Linked DNA regions of Cricetulus griseus. The protein of the gene in region 4 purifies or fractionates together with the protein of the main gene of each other region. This does not show direct contact. Links are inferred from orthologs where the notes say so. Each region holds a gene or a part of one and is shown on either strand. Other genes may lie near its edges. The genes, in order: Prpf3, Cd2bp2, Eef1a1, Eftud2, Phb, Znhit2 and pre-mRNA-processing factor 6.

Region 1 (2,557 bases), on a different chromosome or scaffold from region 4:
TAAGAGCACTGTCTGCTTTTGTGGCAGACCCAGGTTCAATTCCAACACCTACATGTCAGCTCACAGCTGTCTTAATTCCAGTGCTGTCTACTGTCCTCCTTGGGCGTGCAGCATGTAGTGACATGAATAGTCAAAACATAAAATTACAGCCGGCTGTTGGTGGCTCACACCTTTAATCCCAGCACTCGGGAGGCAGAGACAGGCGGATCTGTTTGAGTTCGAGGCCAGCCTGGTCTCCAGAGCGAGTACCAGGATAGGCTCCAAAGCTATACAGAGAAACCCTGTCTCTAAAAACAAAACAAAAAAAAGTATTTTATCATTCATCTCATAATTGCTTAATATCACCTTCTGATTTACTTGCTTCAGAAAACTGTACTTATCATTGTGCTTCAGGATGAGGTCAGATATTTAAAGACTTCAACTGCTGGGATCCTAGGTAAAAAGAATATCACCCACAGAACTAAACCCTAATACCTATTGCTATATGAAAAACATCACACTAAGTTTAAAAATAACTCTTTAATCATATGCACATACAGGATGAAGGGTAGCACCAGGCTGACTGGGTAAACAAGGTAGTCTCTTTGCCCCAATGACTGCCTGGCACAGTTCTGAGATCACACTCGCAAGGGGGGACAGGTTGGAAAGTAGAGTGAGAAGGCAGAGGAAAAAAAGGCCAAGGAGACACAGGGCTAGCAGTAGTCTCAGTCAGTAGACTCCAACACAGATTCACTTAGTGCAAGGTCCCAGTAGTGTTCAGCCCCATGCTTTTTGAAATGCTCACGAGCCATGTTCTCTGTAGGGCACTGTTTAAACTTCATCTCTCCAAAGCTCCGGTCTTTGGCCGTACCCTAGGTAAGAAGAAAAAACTTTGTTTACTTACTTGAAAGCAATAACTTGTTATTAGGCCACATTGCCCTTGAATTACAAATCCTACCTCAGCATCCTAATACACCATCATGCTGAGGAGAGACAAGAATTTTAGTAAGCTTTCTAACTATCCCCCAATTCCAGTGTTGGGAATTGAACTTAGAGACTTACTCATGTTAGGAAAGCACTCCACCACTTCAACTTACTTAAACAAGACATAGTTTTTTGTTTTTTTTTTCTTTGAAACATATTTTCTCTGTGTAGCCTTGGCTGTCCTGGAACTTGTAGACCAGGCATGCCTTGAACTTAGAGATTTTCCCTGCCTTTGCCCCTGGGCACTGGGATTCCGGGATTCAAGGTGTACTGACATAATATTCTTTTGAGAGACCTGATAACATGTGTGTAGCAAAATGACTCACTGACATGATTCTCTGATAATTATAACCCCATCTTATAGATATTTGCATGATTAGACATATGGATTTCTGGTTTTTTTTGTTATTGTTACTGTTTTTAGAACCAGAACTAAAACATCCCCCCCCCCCCCCGTGAGTATTAAGGATTGAACTGGTGTTGTCAGTCATATACTGAGTCTATACTGAGTAATATTACTAGCCTTCAGCACTCTTTCCCAGCAGGAGGTTGTAAGCACCCCCAATGTGAGTGTAGGGAGTTGGATTTGGGCCTGTTTTAATTCATTCTCAATCACACCAACAAATCAGGGAGACTGAATAACACCCATATTTAATAGATAAGGCAAAGGAATCTGTCTGACTCAGATCGAATAGCTGACTGACACTCTGTCAGCAACCTATTTGTTTTGCTGCAGAGCTGAGGGTCAAACTCTGGATTCCAATGAATATTAGAGAAGCACTCTTGTCACTGAGCTACACTCCCAGGCTACACACCCATCCACCATCAGATTCTTAGATCTAGCCCTATGTTTTACTACACCCAGAGGGGGAAAATAAAATTTACTCCCCTCTCACATTCAGGCTTGGAAATATGTAATTTCCAATTGAGAATTTGTATTCTTAACATCAGCACTTTTTAAAACATTTCCAGTTGGTATGTACTACAAATTGCTCTAAATATTCCAGCTAACTTTCTATTTCAGCATTTTATAAAGATTACCAACCTCCCATACTAGTACACATTTGTTAGTTTTCTTCACAGCTTCTTCATCAGATTCCTCATCATCTGGAAAAGACAGAAGAGCTCAATCTTTCTTTTGTTTGTTGAGACAGATTTCACTATATAGACCAGGCTGGCCTCCAACTGACAGAGATCACCTACATCTGCCTCTCAAGTACTGGGATTAAAGGAGAGTGCCAACACCACCTGGCTCTGTTCTTTTTTTTTTTTAATTTTATTTTTTTTTGGTTTTTAAGACAGGGTTTTTCTGTGTAACTGTCATGGCTGTCCTGGAACTCACTCTGTAGACCATGCTGGAACTCAATGGGATTAAAGAAGAGTACCACCACCACCTGGCTTTTTTTTTCTTTTTCTAAAAGATAGGGTGTCTAACTCTGTAGCTTTAGCAGGTCTTCAATTTGAGACCATCCTCCTGATGCAGTCTACTGAGTGCTGGGATTACAAGCTTCAACAGTCATGCCTTACTAAACATCTTTTCTTTCTTCACCACTCCATCCCCACCCCACAGCCCAATGCCCAGGGCATTAAACAT
Region 2 (3,952 bases), on a different chromosome or scaffold from region 4:
CTGGGATGCACCATAGTGCCCAGAGCTGGTGTTTCAGGCATTCTGTAGCAAGATGCCCTCCTGGGCTAGGACCTGTGTTCTGTGCCCGTGGAAGAAACTGAGGACACAATTCCAAGTTTCATGGTGATTCAGAATGGAGAAAATCCTGCAAGAGAAAGGTGTGGTCCATCTGGCCGCCCTCATCCAGCTCTTGCAGGATCACCTGAGCTATCTAGCCTGGGGGGGAGGTGTTCTGGCTTTGAGTTGTTCTCAAGAGCTCCAGATCTAGACTTCACTAGACAGGAAGATCTCACCTGGCTCCACCTCTGCAGGAGCGGGATTCCATCACCTTAGCATTTTGCTGAGGGGTGGGGTAGACTTCACCTTGCAACTGGATGTACCCCAGAGTAGGGCATTATGGGCTTCTGGCTGGGTACTGCTCGGATGCCAATGCTACTTCCTGTTATAGTTCCCCTGCAGAAAGAAGGAATTGAATGGGAACAGACATGGGGCTGGGTCCTAAAAGGAGCTAGATTTGGAAAGTGCCTAAGTATTGACAGCCAGAAACAGGACTCAGGAAAAGCAAGAATTTTTTTTTTTTTTTTTAAAGAGACATCTCACGTTGTATCCCCGATTGGCCTCAATCTCGCGACAATCAGTCCTGCTTATTTCCCGAGCGCTGGGACTGTGTCAAGCTTGGAAAGCAGGGTTTCTATTGAATTCCGTTGGGCGCAAAGAGCCCTATATAGAGAGTCAGACTGGAGCCCACAGCTTCTGCTCGGCCTTTGTCCCTCCATCCAGGACTTGGGAACCTCTTTTTTTTTTTGGTTTTTGAGGCAAGGTTTCTCTTTGTGACTTTGGAGGCTGTCCTGGAACTAGCTCTGTAGACCAGGCTGGTTTCGAACTCACAGAGATCTGCCTGCCTCTGTCTCCCGAGTGCTGGGATTAAAGGCGTGCGCCACCACCGCCCGGCCTTCAGCACCTCTTTAAGCAGACAGAGCGTCACGTCCTCACCTGAGTCTCCATTTCAGAGGAATAACAAACACTTGCCGCCATCCTCAAGCTAAGTAAGGCTGGGGCTGGTATAGGAGTTCACGCGAGTCTTTTGGGGTCTTACGTCACTTCCTGCGGAGACTGTCTTGACCAAATGTACACATCCGCCCGTTCCGACAGTCTTTTGGATGGGAGTGAAGCAGCTTCCGGCCTTATGGAGGTCTCCACAGTCTCCTTCCGGGTTATGGAGGCGAGTGCCCCGGATGTAATACTGGCGAAAGCATCTTTCCTTTCTTTCCCCGCCTGACCCCGGGCTCCTCGGTGAGCGCCAGCCGGTAAGACTGTTCGAATCCCTGCGAATTTGCTTCCTCTCTAATTTGTGCGCCGACTCTGACATGGTCTAGCAGCTCGCTGCGTGGAACTGGGGGTCCTAAGCAACCAGGGCGCCAGCTCTTGGGTCCGACCGGCCTCTGTGGGCACTCGGGTGGGAGCTGGGGGAGCCCTGTAGCTCCGCACTGGTAGGGGAGTGGTGACGTAGGGGAGCCTGGCTTTTTTTCCTGCGTGGGAGTACGCACAGGGTCCGCGCGGGGGCGGAGATCCGCCCGTCAGGGCCTCTGAATGAATTGCCAAACCAATTCCCGACGACCCGCCTGCTAGCGCTTGAGATGGTTCAGTGACCCTTCCTCGCTCAAACGGGACCTGGCGCTTACCAAGGAAAATGTGGTGCCACAGCGCTCTCGCGGCCGGCTCTCCTTACCTAATTTTCTTACTCCGTATCCTTTTCCGAGGTCCAGCTGGAGGAAGTGTTCTGCCAGTCATGCCAAAGAGGAAAGTGACTTTTCAAGGTGTGGGAGATGAGGATGATGAAGATGAAATCAGTGTCCCCAAAAAGAAGGTGAGATGGTCAGACTCCTAATGTCTGTGGAGGACTGAGGAGAAATAAAAGGAAGGAAAGCTGAGAAGCGAAAGAAAGGGTTAGTTTGCCCCGGTGCGCTGGGTTTGGTAGGTTTTCAGTTTGGATACAGATCCTGGAATATTTGGGAAGCTCGCCAGTAGGTTGCCTTTCTCATTTGCTGGTTTCTACTCACAGCTGGTGGACCCTGTGGCTGGAGCAGGGGGTCCTGGGAGCCGCTTCAAAGGCAAACACTCTTTAGACAGTGATGAGGAGGATGATGATGATGAAGGGTCCAGCAAGTATGATATCCTGGCCTCAGAGGATGTAGAAGGTGAGTTATTCCCAAAACATTAGCTGTGTTGGAGGGCAAGTCTGATTATGGAGGTGGGAAGTGTGCCTGTCTCTTTTTTGCATGCCTAGCATGGGGCCCCCATGTCTTTGGTGCAGGTCAGGAAGCAGCTACTCTCCCTAGTGAGGGGGGTGTGAGGATCACACCCTTCAACCTGCAGGAAGAGATGGAGGAAGGCCACTTTGATGCTGATGGCAACTACTTCCTGAACCAGGATGCACAGATCCGAGACAGCTGGCTGGACAACATTGACTGGGTGTGGCCCAGGAGCTGTCCTGGCTGAGGCCTGGGAATGCAGGTGCTGGGCCTGGGCCCTGGTGGAAGTTTGTAGGAAATAATAATTATCTTTCCCTTATAGGTGAAGATCAAGGAGCGGCCACCTGATAAGCACCAGGTTTCAGACTCAGAGGAGGAAGACAGCCTGGGTCAGACTCCGATGAGTGCCCAAGCCCTCCTGGAGGGACTTTTGGAGCTGCTGTTGCCAAGAGAGACAGTGGCTGGGGCACTTAGGCGTTTGGGGGCCCGAGGAGGAGGCAAAGGGGACAGCAAGGGGACTGGACGGCCCAATTCCCCACAGCGCCTAGACCGGCTCTCTGGGTTGGCTGATCAAATGGTGGCTCGAGGCAACCTTGGTGTATACCAGGAAACAAGGGAACGATTGGCTATGTGTCTGAAGGGTTTGGGGTGTCGGACTCAGGGATCCCATGACCCCACACCTCCACCCTCCCTGGACATGTTTGCTGACGAAGTGACAGAGGGAGAACTGGAAACCCCGACCCCTGCGCATAAAGGAGGTAAGCTTTTAGGACACAGGAGAGGCAATGCCAGTGGGAGACTGGGCACTTAAGGCCGATACGTCTTTGTTGTCTTAGAAGCAGAGTCAGCGGGAGATGGTCTAATGGATGTGATGTGGGAATATAAGTGGGAGAACACGGGGGATGCTGAGCTGTATGGACCATTCACCAGTGCCCAGATGCAGGTCAGTGGCTTCCTCCTGTCTTGTCTGTCCATCCCGACTTCTGTCATCTTTCCTAAGTTTTGTCCTCTCTTCTTACAGACCTGGGTGACTGAAGGCTACTTCCCGGATGGTGTTTATTGCCGGAAGCTGGACCCTCCAGGTGGTCAGTTCTACAATTCCAAGCGCATTGATTTTGATCTCTACACGTGAACCTGCTAAGGGCCCAGTGTGGTAGCCCCTTTTTCTTGGACTTGGCAGAGGAGGCCCCAGCTGCCCTGGGCAGTGAGGATCTTGGAAGCTACTCTTCAGCCACTTTCCCTTTCCCAATAAAAGCCTTGAGTGTGCATCAGGGCCTTGATGTGCTGGTAGCCAGAAGCCAGGGCTCCTCCGTAGCTCCTGTTGGCTTACCTGGCCCTTGAGTGTCTCCTCCTTCCTTAGATGCTTCTCTCTGGTGTCTTGGACCACCTCGGTTTGTTTTCCGCCCTTGGTGGCAGTAGTAGGGCCCGTCAGGTGTCCTGTGACTTGCCATGTCAAATTCCCTTCAATCACTCTATTCTCCTATCTCCCCTGCAAGTCCTTGTTTTGCTGATCTTCAGCTTTTAGGACCTCAGATTCTCTGGCCTAGTAACCCCTTTGCAGCTGGGACATTTGGAAAAGTTTGAGATCCTATTGAGAACACTCAGGAGGCCTCTTAAACATGGGTTCTCCTCTTCTCCCTAGTCTGATTTTTCCTTCCCTTGCAGTAGCTCCCATAGCTCTTAGGTGAAGCATGAACTTA
Region 3 (4,116 bases), on a different chromosome or scaffold from region 4:
GAAACAGTTATGAGCACTTGTTCATACAGCATTTCATATCCAAACAATACTCAGTGCAACAGAAACTTAAGTTCTACTTACCCAGTGGAGGATAGTCAGAGAAGCTCTCAACACACATGGGCTTGCCAGGAACCATATCAACGATGGCTGCATCACCAGATTTCAAGAATTTAGGGCCATCTTCCAGCTTCTTACCAGAACGGCGATCAATCTTCTCCTTAAGCTCAGCAAACTTGCATGCTATGTGAGCTGTGTGACAATCCAGTACAGGAGCATAGCCAGCACTAATTTGGCCTGGATGGTTCAGGATAATCACCTGAAAGAAACAGCATTTGGTTAAATCTTGCCTTCAGGTTTTGCATGCTGCTATCAATATTACACTCTTGACACCTATCTTGTTTACCTGAGCAGTGAAGCCGGCTGCTTCCATTGGTGGGTCATTTTTGCTGTCACCAGCAACGTTGCCACGTCTGACATCTTTGACAGACACGTTCTTTACATTGAAGCCCACATTGTCTCCAGGAAGAGCTTCACTCAAAGCTTCATGGTGCATTTCAACAGACTTTACTTCTGTTGTAACGTTGACTGGAGCAAAGGTAACCACCATTCCAGGTTTTAAAACACCAGTCTCTACTCGGCCCACAGGAACAGTCCCAATACCTAAAAACATTTACAGTATATAAGGTGAAGACAACTGAACACACCTCAAAACATCTTAGTCCAGTGTCCGAATGCTCTACTTACCACCAATTTTATAGACATCCTGGAGGGGCAGTCGCAGTGGCTTGTCAGTGGGACGAGTTGGTGGCAGGATACAATCCAAAGCTTCCAGCAGTGTGGTACCACTGGCACTGCCATCTTTACGGGTGACTTTCCATCCCTTGAACCAAGGCATCTGAAATGCAGAGTAGCCAAATGTTTTATAATCTCTCCCCCCTTACAGCTTTTCCATTTAACCACCTTCTTCAAGTCACTTACATTAGCACTAGGCTCCAGCATGTTGTCACCATTCCAACCAGAAATTGGCACAAATGCTACTGTGTCAGGGTTGTAGCCAATTTTCTTAATGTAGGTGCTGACTTCCTTCACAATTTCCTCGTATCTCTTCTGGCTGTAAGGTGGCTCGGTGGAATCCATTTTGTTAACACCAACAATTAGCTGTTTCACACCCAGGGTGTAAGCCAGAAGGGCATGCTCACGGGTCTGCCCATTCTTGGAGATACCAGCCTCAAATTCACCAACACCAGCAGCAACAATCAGGACAGCACAGTCAGCCTAAGAAAAAGTTACCTCCCGTTAATAACAAAGCTTTCCAGCTGGAGGTAAGGGTCAGAAGGTAGTAAATTTCACAAACCTGAGAAGTGCCAGTAATCATGTTTTTAATAAAGTCTCTGTGTCCTGGGGCATCAATGATGGTCACATAGTATTTGCTGGTCTCAAATTTCCACAGGGAGATGTCAATAGTGATACCACGCTCACGCTCAGCTTTCAGTTTGTCCAAGACCCAGGCATACTTGAAGGAGCCTTTTCCCATCTGTTCAGTGATTCGCAGTTAGTACACTCAAAACATCTAGTTTCTAAATAAACAATTTCCTGCTTACGGTAGATTTCCACCCCCCCCGACCTTTTCCCTTCGAATACTTGCCTCGGCAGCCTCCTTCTCAAACTTTTCGATGGTTCGTTTGTCGATTCCACCACATTTGTAGATCAGGTGGCCGGTTGTGGTGGACTTGCCTGAATCTACGTGTCCAATGACAACGATGTTGATATGAGTCTTTTCCTTTCCCATGTTGGATTTGAATTAGCGGTGGTTTTCACAACACCTTAAAAAAAAAGTTCGAAGAATACCTTTGAACGGCTAAGCAGCTTTGTCAATCAGCTTCGCTCCAAACTCAAAATGGGCAAATTCCAAGAATTACTTCCATGGCCAGGCTGGCCTGGCTACAGTCTCCACCCACCAAATGTGAGCAAACTCCAACGCCATTAGACAGATCCCCTCCCCCAGCGGAGGCCAGCGGTGCTCCGAAAGAGCGCCCGGGGTGACTGAAGTGCGGCCGGTACACCACGGGGTCACAGGAAGCAGCGGCCGGCGAGGGGCAAGGCCCTCTTCCTTTGTGTGGGTGACTCACCCGCCCCGCTCCGCCGGGCTGCCGCGTCCTCCATTTTGAGCTCCTTGCTACAGGGCCCGGGAGCGGCCATCTTTCCGCGCACGCAACTGGTGCCGGGCGGGCGGGCCTCGCCCTCCTCGGAGCTAAGCCACTACGGGGTACTGGCCAGACCGGGCCGGGACCCGGGGCCACCTGAACCCGGCATCTAAAACCCACCGCCCGGCCGCCTTATCAGGACACAGGCCGCTACCCGTCCAGGCGGCGTCGGACATGTGCTGCGGGACGGGCGGGCCCGGTCCCCCCCCCGACTGCTGCCGCTCTCCCTGCCCGACATGCGGACTACGGGGCTCCCTACCAGCCAGCTCCACGCCCTCCCTTTGTTGGCCCGGGCCGCGGGCAGGCAATCGAGGGCAGCCGGGCAGACAGCAAAGCGCGGCCGCGGTGGCACGCGGCGGGGCGGAAGCCACGCTAGGCCTCACGCCCGACACGAGGCGAGGCTCCGGGGCCGCCGCCAGGCCTCCCCCCCTCGCCCTCCCGCACAGCCCGCCATCCAGGGCGGGAACGCTCGCAGAGAAGCCCGGCCGACGACACCCGCACGGCGGCCCGACCCCGCTCAAAGGAGGGAGCCCGGGCCCGCGGAGGCCACACCCGCCACTCACCTGCGTTCTGACGGCAAACCCGTTGCGAAAAAGAACGTCCAACGCGACTACCGCACTTTTATACCGTTCTCCCCCACCCTCGGGAAGAGGGCGGAGCCAGCACACGACACCACTTTCCCAGTTTGCCCCGCGCTGGCTCCCGGGCCCCCGCTCAGCGCGCCCCTCCCCCACCGCCGGGGACTGTGGGCTTGTGCTCTCCCGCCGACCCGCGATCCGCCCTAGGCGCAGGCTCCTCCCGCCGCGCTGGGCGGGCACAGCGGTTCCGGGCTGGGAGGCCGGCCAGAATTTAGCGACGGTCCCTGGGATTCCCAGGGGCGAAGGCGATCCCTCCTTTTGTATGAATTACTCTCGGCTCCAGTCGGGGGTGGGGCGGTGAGGAGCTGGCCAAGAGGGCGTCCAGAATCTGTCCCTACCCTTCCTGACTCCACTGCCAAGGCTGTGTCGAGATCCGGGTGTCCCTTCCCGTGGAGGCCACCTCCCGACGTCAGCCCCGCCATCCCCCTGCTTGTCCCCCGCGGGAGAGGTGCACAATCCTAGGGACCCTTCCCAGCCCCAGAACCTAAGGGCTCAGCTCGGTGGCCGAGAGCTCGACGGATCTGCCCCTGTGCTGGCCTCTTGGTTCATTCCATCCAGCGCCAGCTGCTTCTCTGGAAGCCTGAAGCGCGCTTCACGCCCTGGGAGTTCCGTTCAGAATAATACTTAAGTCCCACAGTTAGCTTTACTTCTGATTCTGGGCTTCTTAAGCTAAAAAAGGATTTTGTGTGTGCGCGCATTGTGTGTGTGTGTGTGTGTGTGTGTATTTGGGTACAGTTATTTGATAGAGCACGAGGAACATGAAAAGAATCTAATCAACTCCACGTGGTCTCATTTAGAGGCCAGCATTAGCAATCTTACTCGCCCAGAGCCCATCCCTGACACTTGTGAAATCAGAGCTTCTCAAAAATGGCTCGTCCTATTATTTAAATGCTTGTCATTCCTACAGTTCCAAGGATCATAACTGCGTTTTGCTGTGGTTCTGATTGTGTGGCTGTTTTGTTTTTGAGACAGTCTCTTTAGCCCTGGGTGCCCTGAAACTCACTAGGTAGACCAGGCTGACCTCAAACTCACAGAGATCCGCCCTGCCTCTGCCTCCTGCGTGCTGGGATTAAAGGCGTGCGCCACCATGCCGGCCCTAGCCTGTTTTCTTTTCTTTTTTTTCTTTTTTTTTTTTTTTTTTTTTGGCCCTGGCCAGTTTTAAATGCCTCTCCGGGCAGGATCTCAGAAGAAAGAAAAACTTCTTTGTTGTTTTGTTTCTTAATGCTAGGGACGGTGAAAAGGTATTTTGTAATGGAATATGGGGTTGTGGAGAT
Region 4 (3,500 bases):
GGAGGCAGAGGCAGGCAGATCTCTGAGTTCCAGGTCAACCTGGGCTACATAATGAGATTTCTTCTTCTTTTTATTTTTTCCCTCAAGACAAGAGTTTCTCTGTGTAGTTCCTGCTGTCCTGGAACTTCTGTAGACCAGGCTAGCCTGGAACTCAGAGATCCACCTGCCTCTGCTTCCTGAGTGCGAGGATTAAAGGCATGTGCCACCCCTGCCTCTTTTTAACTTTAAAAATCACATTTATTTACTTATTTTTATGTATGTGGAAGTGTTTACATAATGTGGTGGTGTGGAGGTCAGAGGACAACTTTTGGAAGCCGGTTCTCTGCTTCTATCATGTGTGGGTTCAAGACTGAACTCCTGTCACCAGGCTGGCACCAAGTGCCTTAACAAACAGAGCCAGGCCGAGTAAGATCTCATCTCATTACAAAACACAACAGAAAGAAAGCAAAGGTCTGTGAATACTTTTATACATAGGAGAGCACATCTCTGGGTACAGAGAAACATCATGAACAGTTAACAGTGAGCAGATTGTACCTGTGTTTAACTGAGCTTGAGGTTTTTAAAAAGGTGCCTCTGACTCCCTCTGCTGGTGACACTGGTGACTATATAAAGTTAGTGGCATTACCCAATTTTTTCAGTTTAGAAATATAAAAGAATTTCAACTCCCATCTCTAATTTTGAGCATCACTTGCTTCCCTAAATTTAGAGCAAACCTGAGATTTATCACACAGACCTTCATGTTTGCTGCCTCCTAGCTCACATGGCAATTTGAGTGATATGTAGGGGCATAGTAACAGGGGACTAACTTACCCCCTCAGCAGCATCAATGAAAAGGACCACCCCATCTGAGATTCGCAAGCCAGCTGTGACCTCATCAGAAAAATTCACGTGTCCTGAAAAGCAAATATCCAGTCATCACTTAGGGGTATGAGGCAGTTAACCTGCAGGATGACCTGAGGAGCACTGCAAAGTCTGTGAACCCAAATATTCCTCCTCAGTCCACAGCACCTTGCAGCGTATCCATTTCTCCCATTAGAGTCTCAACCTGGGATTAAGGTTTCACACACAGGTCTCCACACAGAGAAGGTAAAGCAGCTGACACACCAACTTAGTTTGATCAGCAATCAACAGAGTTCTGCAAGAGCTATGACTCTCTGGAGGCAGGGAAAGGCCCAGAGCATGGTGCTATTGGGGGACAGGGTGAGCAGGGGCTTGAGAGTATCAGGCCCTGGCACAAGACGGTGTCCTGAAGGCAAATCTGCTAAACTCCAAATTGCCCACATGTTAAATAAAACAACTTTGTGTTAAGTCAGCCCTTTCCATAAAAGAGCGAGCCAGCAGCAAGGCTCACTGCACCCTGGTGCTCACTGCCCGCTTTCTAGAAGACTGAGCATGCTGAAGGCCTGCGATGAGGTTGATTTATGTCAGATGGGGTCTGACATAAACTAAAATCAATCAACACACAGGATCCCTAAAATTGAAAATTCCATAGAAAAGTAAAAACAGAAGTGAAATCAAAGGATAGGGATCATGCTTGGTAATTTGTCAAAGTGGGAATCCTTGAAAAGAAAACTCAACAAAGGTGAAGAGAGTACAAAGTCAAGATGTCCCACTCTGTATTGCTTTGGGAAAGGAACACAACAGGAAATGAGACAGGATGTGACAGCGAAGGGCCCTGGCTGTCCCACCTGGTGTGTCCATGATGTTGAAGAGGTAAGACTTCCCTTTGGTATCCGGCAGCACCACCGTCACCGGAGTGCTCTTGATGCCAACACCTCTCTGAAAGGTAGACACTGGTCAAGGCTTCTTCCCGTACAGAAGAATTCACCCAGCTCTTGGGGTTTGCCAATTGCTGGTTAACTACAATGATGTCTCTCCTTGTAACAAGTTTAATTCCTTTTTTGGGGGGGTGGGGTGGGGGGTGGTTCTAGACAGGGTTTCTCTGTGTAACGAATAGCCCTGGCTGTCCTGGAACTTGCTTTGAAGAGGGAAAAGAGGATAGATAAAAAAAAAAAAAAAAAAAAAAAAAAAAAAAAAAAAAAGGAGGGGAAGAGAAGAGGTGATGAGGAGGAAGGGAAACCCAGAAGGAAAGAATCACAATGGTCCCACAAGCTGTCCACAGAGAAGCCTCTCCAGGAAGGAGATGCACACAGTAGGCATCTTAGGGATTGTCAGGATGTTGTAAAGATCATGTAGAGTTTTGCAAATTTGGACACCATCTCTCAGTATGTCTTATTAGGCAAAATTAAATCTACTCAAGGACTGGAAGGCTCCCCACCTGTGCTCCAGCTGGCCCTCCCAGTTCTCGTTATGGGGTGACTGAGAGCTGCAGAACTGTTGGGCAAGGCTAAATGGGAGTGCTATGGGAGTCCTCCCCCCACATTCTCTACAAAACTATGGTGGTGGGCCTTTGTAAGCAAAATCTAATTTCCCAAGGCACCTTACCTCTTGCTCTGTGAAGAGGATGTCAGTATAGCACAGCTGAAAAAAATTCAGTGCTGTTACAACCCGAATTCAGACTTCCATCAATCACCTTCCCTCACCTCCTCCCAACTCAAGGGGCTTCCCAAGGGGAAACCCTACTGAAGACAGCAGGCTGTTCCCACAGTAATTCCTGACAGTGAGGCCAGTGCCCCTCAAGACAGAAAATGTTCTTGCATGTGTGCAGGGGTGGGAGTAGGGTGAGCGGTCACTAAAGACCATGCATGGCTGGAGACATAAGCTAGACGCACTGCACTGGATCTGAAAGAGTGGAAAAGGGAGATTCGTTCCAACAGTCAAGTCTCACATGTCACAACAGTCAATCTGACAGAGTCTGAACATTTATTGCACTGAGACTAGCCGCCACTGTTGGCCTTGTTCACAGGCATTTAAATTTACCATGAAAACAACAAGGTCCAATTGTATGATATTTATAGAACAGGCTATTAATAAAACGACAGGAAAGAAGAGACTATAAAAGTCAGGATACATCACTGAGGCGGGATCCCAAATGCGAAACAGTTCATCTAAAATAACTGCAGGTTAATATTCTCTGTGCTCCTGAGAAAGTCGAAATGATGTGCTTACACCTATTAATAAAGTATAATCACACAGCAGCAGTCTGCACACACTGGTTATGAGTGCAGGGTGAAGGAAGGGAAGGAGTGAGGCATCCCCTCCACCCCAAACAGCTCGGCCCAAGTTCCACTCACATCTTGGTCATAGCGTTTTCTGATTTCCGGATGAGTCTGTTCTATCAAGCAATCTACAAAACACGTCTGAAAGAGAAGAGATGGGTGAGACCTGCCAATTACAGAGGAAAATCTATGCCCCCTTTCCAAAGCCCCCAACACACCATGTAATTCAGGCATGAAGGGAAGAAGAGGAAAACAAAGAGGATTATGGGACAGCAAAGGATTAACACAGAAGCCACAAGATTATTTTTCAATGAAAGATGAAACCTTTCTTGGGAAGACCTCCCTCAGGAAATAAAAGGTTATAAAAACCAGAGTAAGGCT
Region 5 (4,249 bases), about 6.4 Mb from region 4:
ACTATGTAGCTCTGGCTGTCCTGGAACTCACTATGTAGACCAACCTAACCTCAAACTCTGCCTCTGCCTCAGAGTGCTGGTAAGGTAAACACCACTATGGCCAGTTTACCCAGCATCTTTCTAATAGCTGTTTCTCTAACTTTTGGAGGGGGTCCAACAACATGTCCTGTGGACTCAGAGAGAAATTTTAAAATGCTGACTAGTCTAGCTGTATAGATGAAGCTACACAAACTATGACATCAAGTTATAACTCATGAGCCAAGCAGATCCCTCCCTTTCGTCTTTGACTTTTTCAGACAAGGTCTCACTATGTAGCCCAGGTGGGCCTGGAACTCAAGATCCTTATACCTCAGCCTCACGAGTACTGGGGTCACAGGAGTCTGCCACCAGAACCTGGCTAAAGTAGCTACTTTGCCTCTTTTCATATTTGAATTGAGAATTGGCCTAAAAACTTACAGTCTGATAATAATACTCATTCAAAAGTCATATAGGCAGAAGCAAGAAGTTCAGGAGTTCAAGGACAAACGTGGCTACAGGAGACATAGTCTTAAAAAACAAATCAGCAGGATGCAGCTCTGAGTTGCTTAAGCCACTATACTGCATTTGAGCTGGGTACAGAGGAGCACACTTTTAATCCCAGCACTCAGGAGGCAGGGGCAGGTGGATCTCTGTGAGTTCTAGACCACCTTAATCTACATAGAGTTCCAGGCCAGTCAAGAGCTACATGGTAAGATTCTGTCTCAAAAAAAAAAAAAAGCAACAAACCATACAGAAAGTATATAAAATTTGTTGGAATTCTGAAAGAGTATCAAAGTTGGAGGGAATCTTAAGAGAACTAGTTCAGTCCCATTGTTTGACCAATGTAAAAGCAGAGGACTAGGAGGAGGGACTTGCCTATAAGGCAATATAATACAAAGAAAACCCAGTAATGCATCTCAAAAAATTACTTTCTCTGCAACTAGCTGAGCAAAACCTTCTTTCTCAGGACAAGGTCTCTCAAGCTGAGAGAATTTGCCAAATTATTTCACCCCACATGCAGCAGAAGATAACCAATGAGATCCTGCTGGGCTGCTCTGCAGAGGCATCTGGGTAACAGAGCATCACTTCAAACTGGCTAAAGTTCTAGAAACATCCAGCCAGCAACTGGACAGGAAGGCTCCTCTTGAGCAAAGGATCTAAGTCATCAGCTCTCAACCTGAGCCCTGGGGGGCGGGGTTGACTCTTTCACAGGGTTCACCCAAGACTATCAGAAAATACAGATTTTTACATATTCTGTTACACTATTAAGTAGTAGATTCATAATAGCCAAATTGCAGTTATGAAGTAGTAACAAATTTAATTTTATGGTTGGGGGTCATCACAACATGAGGAAAGCGTATTAAAGGGTCACAGCACTAGGAAGGTTGAGAACCACTGCCTACATGAAGGCCGGGCCTCTGATTACACACAACCATAGTTTGTGGGGTAACAGCAGGTGAGCCCACTTCACCACACACACCTTCAGACAGAGCTAGCCGTTAGGAATTTCAATTGGCTGTGCAGATCAACAGAAAGCACCACCCGCTCACCATTATATAAGGCAGAGTTCACCACGCCTCCTGCAACTGCTAAAGCCAGGCCGAACTTTCCGATGGACTCAAACACTTTGGCAGCCATAATTCCTTCTGTTGCACCCACTCACACCTAAACAAGGGGTAAAAATAAAACAACTTGACACGAAATCCTCGGAGAAAGCCCTCTCTGGGGCACAGCATTCACTTTTCACGATAAATCTTCATGGATCTACTCCTGTGAGCTCTAACTTAACTCACCGAACACCCCGTGACACTCAACATCTTGCAAATGTAGTATCTCGTTTGCTTTTGTAGGCGTCTGGGACACTTGGCTCATCGTAGGAACGATGTGTCGTACCCACAGAGAACTTAGTACCACAGTAAACCACACTCCCATTTCCTAGCCAAATAGGCCACAAGAGACTGTGTATGGCTGGCTCTGTGCATTTGGTTTTGGAAAAGCCAGTAATGTACTACAAGGGTTATGCCAACAACGAAAAGGACAATTCCTGTTAACATTTAAGTTAGGCAGCCTCCAACGGTTTTATTTAACCTTCAGTTTCTTTATGAAAAGCATTACTGGTGAGGTGCATGGAGAGGGTACACTATTCGTATGGAACCAGGGTTGGAATGAGGAGACTGAATTCTAGAAGGCATTGTAAAACTCCTCCCCATACCTGTTAATCGGAAAGCGGGAGCTGGCAGGGGTGCAGTGAGGCAGGGCAGCGAAGGCCTGGAGGTGGGGCTGCGGCGGCGGGTGGGTGGGTGGGAGCACGTAGCTGACAGACTAGAAACCACTCAGCCTTGAACTTTTTCATGCCCCGCCCCTGCGTCGCCCTCGGTGCACTCTTCAAATCCTCCCTCCCTTTCCCCAGAACTCAACTGAGAGTCTATCCCGTTTTCTCCGCGCACATTTACCCTCCACCCCTGACACTAAGACACCCAGTCCTTTCTATTTTCTACTGGCTTCTGGATTTTTCCTTATCCCGCCCCCTCCCCTTGCACAACCCATGGATCGTTCTGGACTCAGCCTTTCCCCCCTTCTCCGTTAGGCGTACCCTCACGTGCATTCCATGACCCCCACCGCACCCAGGAGAGCAAAGGAGGATTACAGGGACACACAAACAGCGGCCTGCACCACCCCTTCCACGCTCACCCGCTTTCACGCTGACCTCCACATGAATTCCCCAGACTCGCATACTGCGCGTGCGCCAGGCAGCTCCTCCCTTTCCCCCGCCCTCTTCAAGATCCGTCCCTTCAATTGGTGGAGCGGAGCGCAACGCATCCTGGGAAGCGTGGTTTGCAGTCTTCCGCGGGCCCTGTTGCTTTCCTGAGGTCAACTACAACTCCCAAAAGGTTATGCAGCAGCGGGCCTGAGCAGGAAACCTGCTTCCGTTTGGTGGCAACTGATGATGGGATGTTGCCGCAAAGCCTTTCGGGGGTTGCAGTTCCTTGGTAATAAGTGCACGTGCGTAGTTCGTAACGAGGTGATTGCTGTTAGAAGAGAGGTACGGGCTGGATCTGAGAGGAGCTGGGCTTCCACCTGGTGGCGGAAGTAACTGGGTGGGCGTTTTGGAAAAAGGTGAGGTGGGATAACTGATGGGCTGGGAAACTCCTAGGGAAGCTAAGGACGGCCTCAGGGGCGTGAGACTTGGATCTCCAGAACCGCTTCGGGACCTTAGAAACGGCTTAGAAAGAAGAGACTCATTCAGGTCTTGCACTACTCCAGCAAAAGGACTTGACTTAGGGTCTAACTCTCCTGTCTCCACCTTTTAAAAGTTGTACTTGAGAAATTGAAAGAATGGGACGGAGAACATGTACATGTATACCTATTAAGCTCACCTGTTGTCAAGACGCATTTGTTGTTACTTTTGTTGTCCCTCTCTCTTCCCAGCACTTTCTTCTCCCTGTGCTCCCCTCTTCTCTCTCCTACTGCTCTCTAAATACAAGGACACCCTCTTACTTGAGTAAATGTAATCCACGTCTGTACTCCGATTTTGTCAATTGAGCAAATAGCGACTTTTATAGAATTCCTCTCCACGCTTCGATAAAATCTGAAATGAAGTGCTGTGTTTATTTCCCATGGACATGTTGCTGTGTAAATACACAACTCTTAAGAGAATATGTGTATATACACACAAACATAAAAGACATGAAACAAGCTGGGCATGGTGGCATGTGCCTTTAATCCCAGCACTCAGGAGGCAGAGGCAGGCAGAAATGGAGGAGGATTATTTGGCTGGAAGGAAGAGACTGCATTACACCTATTCAATAAACACTCATTGAGTACTTACTGAAAACAAACGTCTTTCTAGCCCCATTTTTACATCTCCAATTGGAAATAGCAAAATGGAGTTTAAAAAAATACATTTATGGAGTTGGAGAGATGGCTCAGGGGTTAAGAGCACTGGCTGCTTTTCCAAAGCTCTTGGGTTCAATTCCCAGCACCTACATGGCAGCCCACAGCTGTCTATAACTCCAGTTTGGGGGGTCTAACGCCTTCTTTGGCCTCTGGAGGTACCAGGCACGTAAGTAGTACACAGACATGCATGCAAGCAAAACACCTATGTCCATAAAATAAAAATGCAGACATTGATTTATTGATTTGAGTGTGCATATGTGTGTGGCCACAGTGTACCTGTGGAGGTCAGAAGATAACCTACAGGAGTTGGTTCTCTCCTTCCACTGTGTGAGTT
Region 6 (3,388 bases), on a different chromosome or scaffold from region 4:
CATGTGGGGTGAAGGGCCTGCACCCCATTCTACTTGGCAGGGATGACCAGCCTCAGAGTCTGACGCAAGAAGAGGGAACCACTGCTCCCATATGAAAATACTTTTCCCTGCTGGATAAATGTTTTCAATCTTGTTTTTCTTCTATTCTGGGGTCAGTGATTTGGGGGAGAGAGGTAGAGAACTAGCTGACTAGGGAAGCTGTACTAGGGAAGTGGTTTGTGTGTCCAGGGTAGCTTCGTGGAACAACTGGTTTCTCTCAGAAATGGGCACTTCAGGCCTGGGGGATGTAGTTGTTATATAGAATGCTTGCTTAGCATTCAAGAAGCCTTTGACCTTCAGCACTGCATAAATTAGCAAGGTGACTTAACACTTGTAATCCCAGCACTGTCAAGGTAGAGGCAGGCTCGGCTCAGAAGTTCAAGGTCATCAGCTACACAGTGACTTCAAGGAAAGTCTAGGATAGGGTACTGTCTTTGAAGAAAATAAAGGTACTGCCAACATTTGGACAGACCAGTGACAGCTTTATTAATACCACACACCCAGCTCAGCCAGGGAGCTCCTCAATGAGAGTCCTTGGAGCAGGTGGTACCGGGCCTCCCCAAAGCCGCTCCAGCTCCCCAGTAAGGGTTGCCATCTCCTCGGCTGTGACAGCATGGGCTCGGTGGACCCTGGCACAGTCTAGAGCCAGTGGTGTGAGAGCAACCTCATTTTCGTTGGTCCAGGCTAGGAGGAACTGGCACTTCTTCCGAGCCCGGTAAAGGCGATTTCGTTCTTCGCTAACCACAGCCTGTTTCCGGGCTCGGCCCAGGGTTTGGGCCAGGTGCCCCAGTGCTGTCAGCGTGTAGCCTTTCTGGTTGATAGGACCCTCGCCCAGCAGAATACGAGCAACCTCTTGCATAGCACCCCGCGTACCCAAGGGCCCAGGTGGGTGTTCACCCGCTTCCAGCACGTGGGCTGCGGCCTGCAGGGCTTCCTCCGTAGAGTCAAAGACTTGCTGGGCGCCCAGGGCTCCAGAAACATCGAGCAGTGTGGCACAGAAATCAGAGAGTAGAGCGTCGTCGTCCCCTCCATGATACAGGGCGAGAGTGTGAGCGTAGGCGAACAGCACATTGGGCAGCTGGAATCGCACGAGTGGCGAGGGCGGGCAGCGGCTCAGGCTGGCCAGCGCTGGGATACGGGAGGGCACTGCGGGCGGCACGGCGGCATTTGAGTCTTCAGCAAGAGGCACCGCGGCGGCATCATCCACAGATTCGGGCGCGGTGCTCTCTGGGGCGGTCTCCGGCTCCGAAAGATCCCTGCCCGGGGCACGATCCAACTCCTCCATAAATCGCGGGCCACCCCCGCGGCCCCACCACCAGGGTCTCCACGGGGGCAGAAGGCGTCCAGCATCGCCACGGCTCAGCAGCCGCTCGAACGCCGCCTTCTCAGCCGGTGACAAGCTTTCCCAGAGTCCAGAAAGGCCGTTCGGCCGCGGGCCGGGCCTGAGGCCTATTTCCTCGGGCTCATCCTCGGTCTCCCGTTGTTCGCGTAGCCGGCGTAGTGCTCCCGCCAGACGGCTGGGAGAGGCACTCCGGCCGCGGAGCTCTCGCAGCACCTGGTCGCGGTAGAAGTCTTCGGCGCAGGAGCCATGCGCCCGGTAGCAGCGCAGCGAGCAGTAGGGCGCGTTGCAGCGCGGGCAGGTGTAGCGCGCCGGCAAAGCTTCCCCGCCTGGGCAGAAGCCGCAGAGCCCTACGGGCTCCATGGCAACTGGCGCCGCGTGTCGGGCACCACACAGCAGACGTAGCTCCGCCACTTCCGGTGCTTCTTCGGTTATTTCCGCCTTTGTGCGTGGGGCGACGTACCTTCTCGGTAACTTCCGTCTCTAGAGTAGCCTTTTGAGCATGCGCAGAACACGCCCAAGGTCTAACCAACACGGTGGCTCTCGAGAGTTAGAAGATTAATGTCGCTGATCCCAGCTTGTTCCCTGTGGTTTTACCAAATTGTGCAAAAATAAACTACCTTTTAAGCAAAACCAACCAACAAAAAAAATCCAGAATCTTAGGGGTGTAGCGACACACGCCTTTAATTTAATCCCCGCACCAGGTCCCCAGAGGCAGGGCGATTTCTGAGTTTCAGGTCTACCCAGTGAGTTCCAGAATAGTCAGAGCTACAGTAAGACCCTGTCTTGAAAATACCCCCAAAATAATAAAAACCCTACAAGAACCAAATCATAAACCAGGCATGACAAAGAATCTGAAGAGCAGGTTCCAGGACAGCCTCCGAAGCCACAGAGAAGCCCCGAAGATACTTAACATATCAATATAACAAACTGGGGCAGCCCAACCTCCAAGTTGGATTGAAATTCAATTCCTAGTATTTGTTTTGTGCCACCCATCCCCACCCAACCCCTGACTGCCACCAGAGGTTTGTGTAGCCTTGGCTTTCCTAGAACTAGCGCTGTAAACCAGGCTAGGCTAGCCTCTTCCTCTCAGAACTGGGATTAATGGTATGTGCCACTATGCATGGATCGCAAACTACATAGTTTCATACTTTTCCTCTACAAAGAACCTGAGTTGGGAATTTGACCCTTAAGCACTGCTCAGGCCAAGTGTGGTAGTCTACACAGCATGTGGTAGTCTAGTAACATTTGGGAGGCTGGGAAAGGAATATTAAGAGTCCAAAACTAGCCTGGGCTTAATAAAAACCATTTGCCTCCAAATCCCTGGTACACTCCTGAATGCTGTCCTAACAAGAATGTGGGAATACCCACACCCACTATAGTAAAAAGCTAATGGCTAAACAATGAGTCTGAGACAGTCACTATTCAGAGTCTACAATGGGTTAGACACTGGTTGCAGCGCATTTTACAGTTTGACCAGTATCTCTCACAAAGCTTAAATGGAATGGAGTGTCCAACTATTCTTTGGCCTTACTCCTTGGTGCATTCCAAGATGCAATGGGATCTGGGTGTAGTGGAAGCCTGGTGCTAAGGGTGGAACCATTTAATCAGCTTCTCAGTCACAGTTGTGATCAAGTTCAGCCAGACAAGATCAGGATGCCAGTGCAATCAGACAATTCCAATGCCGAGGGACCCGATGCTCCTTGTGTTTTGAACTTTTTTTTTTTAAGATTTTATTTATTATGTATAAAACATTCTGCTTCCATGTATATCTGCACACCAAAAGAGGGCACCAAATCTCATAAGGTTTGGTTGTGAGCCACCATGTGGTTGCTGGGAATTGAACTCATGACCTCTGGAAGAGCAGTCAGTGCTCTTAACCTCTGAGCCATCTCTCCAGCCCGTGTTTTGAACTTTTATTGATAGTACAGCTGGTCCCAAATTCAGTAAAAACCGATTCACCTTCTAACCAAGGCCTCCCCTCCCTTTAATCATTGCCTCTCCAAAACA
Region 7 (3,500 bases), on a different chromosome or scaffold from region 4:
GCTGCTTCTAGCCAGACATCTTCACTCTGGGACAAAAAAAAAGCAGTAAGAACAGCCTGGAAACCATAAGGAAGACATAGGTTACTCTGGGGCCCCCAAATTTTGTAAGGATCATCAACGTGGCCATAAATACATACTTATGAGAGTTCACCCGGTAATTACACAGCTCAGAAATGTGGCTACCATGTCAGGATGAAAGACAAACATAATCCTTCACAAACAAAAACAAACAAACAAAAATACAATTTACAGTAGGCAAAGTCTTTGGAAAAAGCAAAGACCCTATGTCTGCCTGGGAAGTTCTGATTTATGCATAACGTTCGGAGAATTCCACAAAGGGTTTCTTTCACTCTCAGGAATATCTAGTCCATACAGTAGAGCATTTGACGTTTACTTGGTTTCATAGTACTTTTTAATCTTGTCTAATCATCCCACCTCCCAAAACACAAGTGCTGGAATATATTAAGAGCTAGCACTAACCTGTAAGTTTTTTTTTCCAATTTACTTATTTTTATTTCATGTATATAGGTGTTTTGCCTGCATTCATATCTAGAATAGGGCATCAGATCCCCTGGAACTAGAGTTATAGACAGTTGTGAGCTGCCATGTAGCTGCTGGAAATCAAACTCAGGTCTTCTAGAAAAGCAGCCAGTGCTTTCAACTGCTGAGGCATCTCCTGCTTCAACCTCTAGGTTTCTTTTATTATGTGATGTAACAAGCTGCTCAGTTTATCACTTTCAGTGAAGCTTACCCTGCCATTACAATGGTGGGTCAGTCTCTGTTCCATATAAAAACAAGCAAGAAACTCCTTTCCCTCTATTTACAACCTTGCTCTTGCTCCATTTCTCCAGTATACCACGCCTGGCAGAACACAAAGGATTTTCTGGAAGCCAGAAATCATGTAGCTGTTAAGAGAAATATGCTATAGGCTTCACCTTGGGGCACATCTCTGTCCCCTTCATAATAAGATTCCGAGCCACTTGTAGCTTTCCAGTGACTTCTTCCAGGCGAGCTGATGCAATCCAAGCTGGTGGGTGATGAGGGTTTGTTTCTCTAACAGATTTGAGAAGTAGCCGTGCCTTCTTAATGTCACTGTAACAATGAGAAGGCACAAAAAAATTAGGCCACACTACTAGAGATGTGACAAGAACCAGGGAGAAGGCACCCCCTTCAGACACAAGGCATAAATTGCTAAGAATCAGGAAACATGAGACAATTAACAAGCAGCTTTCTAAGCTCATCACAGGCACTGACCTTAAGATATTATTTGTAAAATATTTAACACACACACACAGCAAATGAGTAAAAATATATTCCTATAATTCTCAGAAAGTCCATGTCATATTTTGACTGCGTATTTCTTTTTTTTAAATTCCACAACATACTAAGCAATTAGAGCTCCCATTTCAACAGACCAATTCTGCAACATACTCACTTTATGTCCCCTCCGTGGGTTGGGATCATAGAATTTAGATCTGTCAGATAGCCTTTGGGGTCCACAACAGTTTGCCCACTCACTGAGTCAGACACCTGTGAGATAGGTAAAAGTGAACATCAGCTAGACATGACCATCAGTGTCTACAACAAAGAATTAATTAACAAGGACCCTGGAGACCTTCCTAACAAATGTGTCCAAGAATAAGCAGCCAGGAGGAAAACAATCTTATTGTAACTCAGACAACGGTCGGTGGTTAGGAAAATGTCTTCTATGGGGAAAGTGTAGAAATCTTCTACAAGGATTAATATTTGGGGGGAGGTATAGGATTGAAGAAGAATGGCTTCCATAGACTCATGTGTGAATAGCTGGTCCCCAGTGGGTGAAACTATTTGGAGAGAATTAGGGGGTATGGTTTTGTTGGCAGGCCACTGGAGGTGGGCTTTGAGGTTTCAAAAGACTTGTGCCAATAAGACAATGGTGGCATATGCCTTTAATTCCAGCACTTGGGAAGCAGAGGCAAGCAGAGTTCGAGGTCAGCCTGGTCTACAGAGCAAGTTCCAGGACAGCCAAAGCTACATAACAGAGGAAACCATCTTGAAAAACAAAAAAACAAAAAAGACTTGTACCATTCTCAGTGTGCCTCTCTCTCTGGCATGTGGTTGTGGATCAAGAATTTGAGCTCTAAGCTGTTCCTTCACTCCACCATCATGGACACTTAACACTCTTTTTTGAGACAGGGTTTCTCTGTGGCTTTGGAGGCTGTCCTGGAACTAGTCCAAGCTGGTCTCGAACTCACAGAGATCCACCTGCCTCTGCCTCCTGAGTGCTGGGACTAAAGGCATGCGCCACCACCGCCTGGCTGCTCTTAACACTCTTGATATGGAATAGTTACTTTAACTATGTAAAGATGTGTTACATTTATTTATGTTGTGGAACATTACTTTAAGTAGGCAAAGATGTATTACTTTTGTTATGGTGTATTTGTTTAATTATGTAAAGATGTGTTGCTGTTTCACCTTGCCTGCCTAAGGCTCCTGATTGGTCTAATAAAAAGCTGAACAGCCAATAACCAGACAGAAGAGGGACAGGCAGTGCTGTCAGGCAGAGAGAATATGTAGGAGGAGAAATCTAAGCTCAAGAGGAGGAGAGAACAAGGGAGAAAGAGAGGGGAATGCCCAGGTCCAGAAGTCAGGCAGCTGCCAGACAGACAGACAAAGAGGAAACAGGAAAGTAAGATATACAGAATGAAAGGTAAAATGTAGATAAAGAGAAACAGATAAAAACAGAGCTAAAATAAAGCCAAGCAATCATAAAAACCAGTCTTCACATCATGATTTGGGAGCTGGTTGATGGCCCAAAAGAAAGCATATTACACACTCTGAAATCACAAGCCAAATTAAATGCTTTCTTTTATAGGTTGCCAGGGTCATGGCGTTTTATAACACCAATAGAAAAGTAACGAAGACGCAAAGAGATCCCAAAAGTCCCAGGAAAAAAACTCAAGTAGACATATATAATAAAAATGTCTTTCCAGCCAGGTGTTGGTGGCATACACCTTTAATCCCAGCACTCAGGAGACAGAGGCAGGCAGATCTGAGTTCGAAGCCAGCCTGGTCTACAGAGTGAGTTCCAGGACAGGCTCCAAAGCAATACAGAGAAACCCTGTCTCGAAAAAGAAAAAGAAAAAGAAAACAAAACAAAAAAAAAAAATGTCTTTCCAATGTTATGAAATAATCGTTTTATACACTGAGAAGATGTGTCTTTGCTAAAGCACCTTCTGATTGGTTTAATAAAGAACGGAATGGCCAATAGCTAAGCAGGAAAACATGTTAGGAGGGACTTCTGGGGACATAGAGGTCTCGGGAGAAGAAGAAAGGCAGAGTCACCAGCCAGACACAAAAGAAGCAGGATGGGCAGTACAGAGTAAAGGTAACTGAGCCACATAAAAGAATGTAGATTAAAGATATGGGTTACTTTAAGTTATAAGAACTAGTTTGGAGCCGGGCGTTGGTGGCGCACGCCTTTAATCACAGCACTCGGGAGGCAGAGGCAGAGGCAGAGG

The links.
Region 1: the proteins of Eftud2 (region 4) and Prpf3 purify together in Homo sapiens (affinity purification with mass spectrometry; 3 studies listed by BioGRID and IntAct, with this or other methods). This does not show direct contact. The link is inferred for Cricetulus griseus from reciprocal best matches to the Homo sapiens genes EFTUD2 and PRPF3.
Region 2: the proteins of Eftud2 (region 4) and Cd2bp2 purify together in Homo sapiens (affinity purification with mass spectrometry; 7 studies listed by BioGRID and IntAct, counting the BioPlex papers as one, with this or other methods). This does not show direct contact. The link is inferred for Cricetulus griseus from reciprocal best matches to the Homo sapiens genes EFTUD2 and CD2BP2.
Region 3: the proteins of Eftud2 (region 4) and Eef1a1 fractionate together in Homo sapiens (co-fractionation; 4 studies listed by BioGRID, with this or other methods). This does not show direct contact. The link is inferred for Cricetulus griseus from reciprocal best matches to the Homo sapiens genes EFTUD2 and EEF1A1.
Region 5: the proteins of Eftud2 (region 4) and Phb purify together in Homo sapiens (affinity purification with mass spectrometry; 3 studies listed by BioGRID, with this or other methods). This does not show direct contact. The link is inferred for Cricetulus griseus from reciprocal best matches to the Homo sapiens genes EFTUD2 and PHB1.
Region 6: the proteins of Eftud2 (region 4) and Znhit2 purify together in Homo sapiens (affinity purification with mass spectrometry; 4 studies listed by BioGRID and IntAct, with this or other methods). This does not show direct contact. The link is inferred for Cricetulus griseus from reciprocal best matches to the Homo sapiens genes EFTUD2 and ZNHIT2.
Region 7: the proteins of Eftud2 (region 4) and pre-mRNA-processing factor 6 purify together in Homo sapiens (affinity purification with mass spectrometry; 6 studies listed by BioGRID and IntAct, with this or other methods). This does not show direct contact. The link is inferred for Cricetulus griseus from reciprocal best matches to the Homo sapiens genes EFTUD2 and PRPF6.

Annotation. Positions count from the first base shown.
Region 1 is NW_023276806.1:60,675,367-60,677,923, reverse strand, and holds the end of Prpf3 (U4/U6 small nuclear ribonucleoprotein Prp3), read right to left. Parts: intron 2,071-2,557; coding exon 2,009-2,070; intron 852-2,008; coding exon 705-851; 3' UTR 501-704; downstream 1-500. UniProt on the Homo sapiens protein: Plays a role in pre-mRNA splicing as component of the U4/U6-U5 tri-snRNP complex that is involved in spliceosome assembly, and as component of the precatalytic spliceosome (spliceosome B complex).
Region 2 is NC_048596.1:73,578,484-73,582,435, forward strand, and holds the start of Cd2bp2 (CD2 antigen cytoplasmic tail-binding protein 2), read left to right. Parts: upstream 1-1,152; 5' UTR 1,153-1,307; intron 1,308-1,760; exon of another isoform or gene 1,761-1,766; 5' UTR 1,767-1,789; coding exon 1,790-1,867; intron 1,868-2,062; coding exon 2,063-2,198; intron 2,199-2,314; coding exon 2,315-2,472; intron 2,473-2,574; coding exon 2,575-3,010; intron 3,011-3,088; coding exon 3,089-3,195; intron 3,196-3,273; coding exon 3,274-3,384; 3' UTR 3,385-3,952. UniProt on the Homo sapiens protein: Involved in pre-mRNA splicing as component of the U5 snRNP complex that is involved in spliceosome assembly.
Region 3 is NC_048597.1:189,545,580-189,549,695, forward strand, and holds the start of Eef1a1 (elongation factor 1-alpha 1), read right to left. Parts: upstream 2,801-4,116; 5' UTR 2,768-2,800; intron 1,824-2,767; 5' UTR 1,790-1,823; coding exon 1,646-1,789; intron 1,535-1,645; coding exon 1,355-1,534; intron 1,276-1,354; coding exon 979-1,275; intron 896-978; coding exon 745-895; intron 661-744; coding exon 404-660; intron 317-403; coding exon 82-316; intron 1-81. UniProt on the Homo sapiens protein: Translation elongation factor that catalyzes the GTP-dependent binding of aminoacyl-tRNA (aa-tRNA) to the A-site of ribosomes during the elongation phase of protein synthesis.
Region 4 is NC_048600.1:115,257,214-115,260,713, reverse strand, and holds part of Eftud2 (116 kDa U5 small nuclear ribonucleoprotein component), read right to left. Parts: intron 3,261-3,500; coding exon 3,195-3,260; intron 2,482-3,194; coding exon 2,446-2,481; intron 1,780-2,445; coding exon 1,689-1,779; intron 894-1,688; coding exon 811-893; intron 1-810. UniProt on the Homo sapiens protein: Required for pre-mRNA splicing as component of the spliceosome, including pre-catalytic, catalytic and post-catalytic spliceosomal complexes. Component of the U5 snRNP and the U4/U6-U5 tri-snRNP complex, a building block of the spliceosome.
Region 5 is NC_048600.1:108,826,563-108,830,811, reverse strand, and holds the start of Phb (prohibitin), read right to left. Parts: upstream 2,801-4,249; 5' UTR 2,710-2,800; exon of another isoform or gene 2,612-2,709; intron 2,305-2,611; exon of another isoform or gene 2,231-2,304; intron 1,684-2,230; 5' UTR 1,657-1,683; coding exon 1,569-1,656; intron 1-1,568.
Region 6 is NC_048596.1:53,289,625-53,293,012, forward strand, and holds Znhit2 (zinc finger HIT domain-containing protein 2), read right to left. Parts: upstream 1,978-3,388; 5' UTR 1,742-1,977; coding exon 545-1,741; 3' UTR 501-544; downstream 1-500. UniProt on the Homo sapiens protein: May act as a bridging factor mediating the interaction between the R2TP/Prefoldin-like (R2TP/PFDL) complex and U5 small nuclear ribonucleoprotein (U5 snRNP).
Region 7 is NC_048599.1:292,795-296,294, forward strand, and holds part of pre-mRNA-processing factor 6, read right to left. Parts: intron 1,531-3,500; coding exon 1,436-1,530; intron 1,093-1,435; coding exon 936-1,092; intron 27-935; coding exon 1-26. UniProt on the Homo sapiens protein: Involved in pre-mRNA splicing as component of the U4/U6-U5 tri-snRNP complex, one of the building blocks of the spliceosome.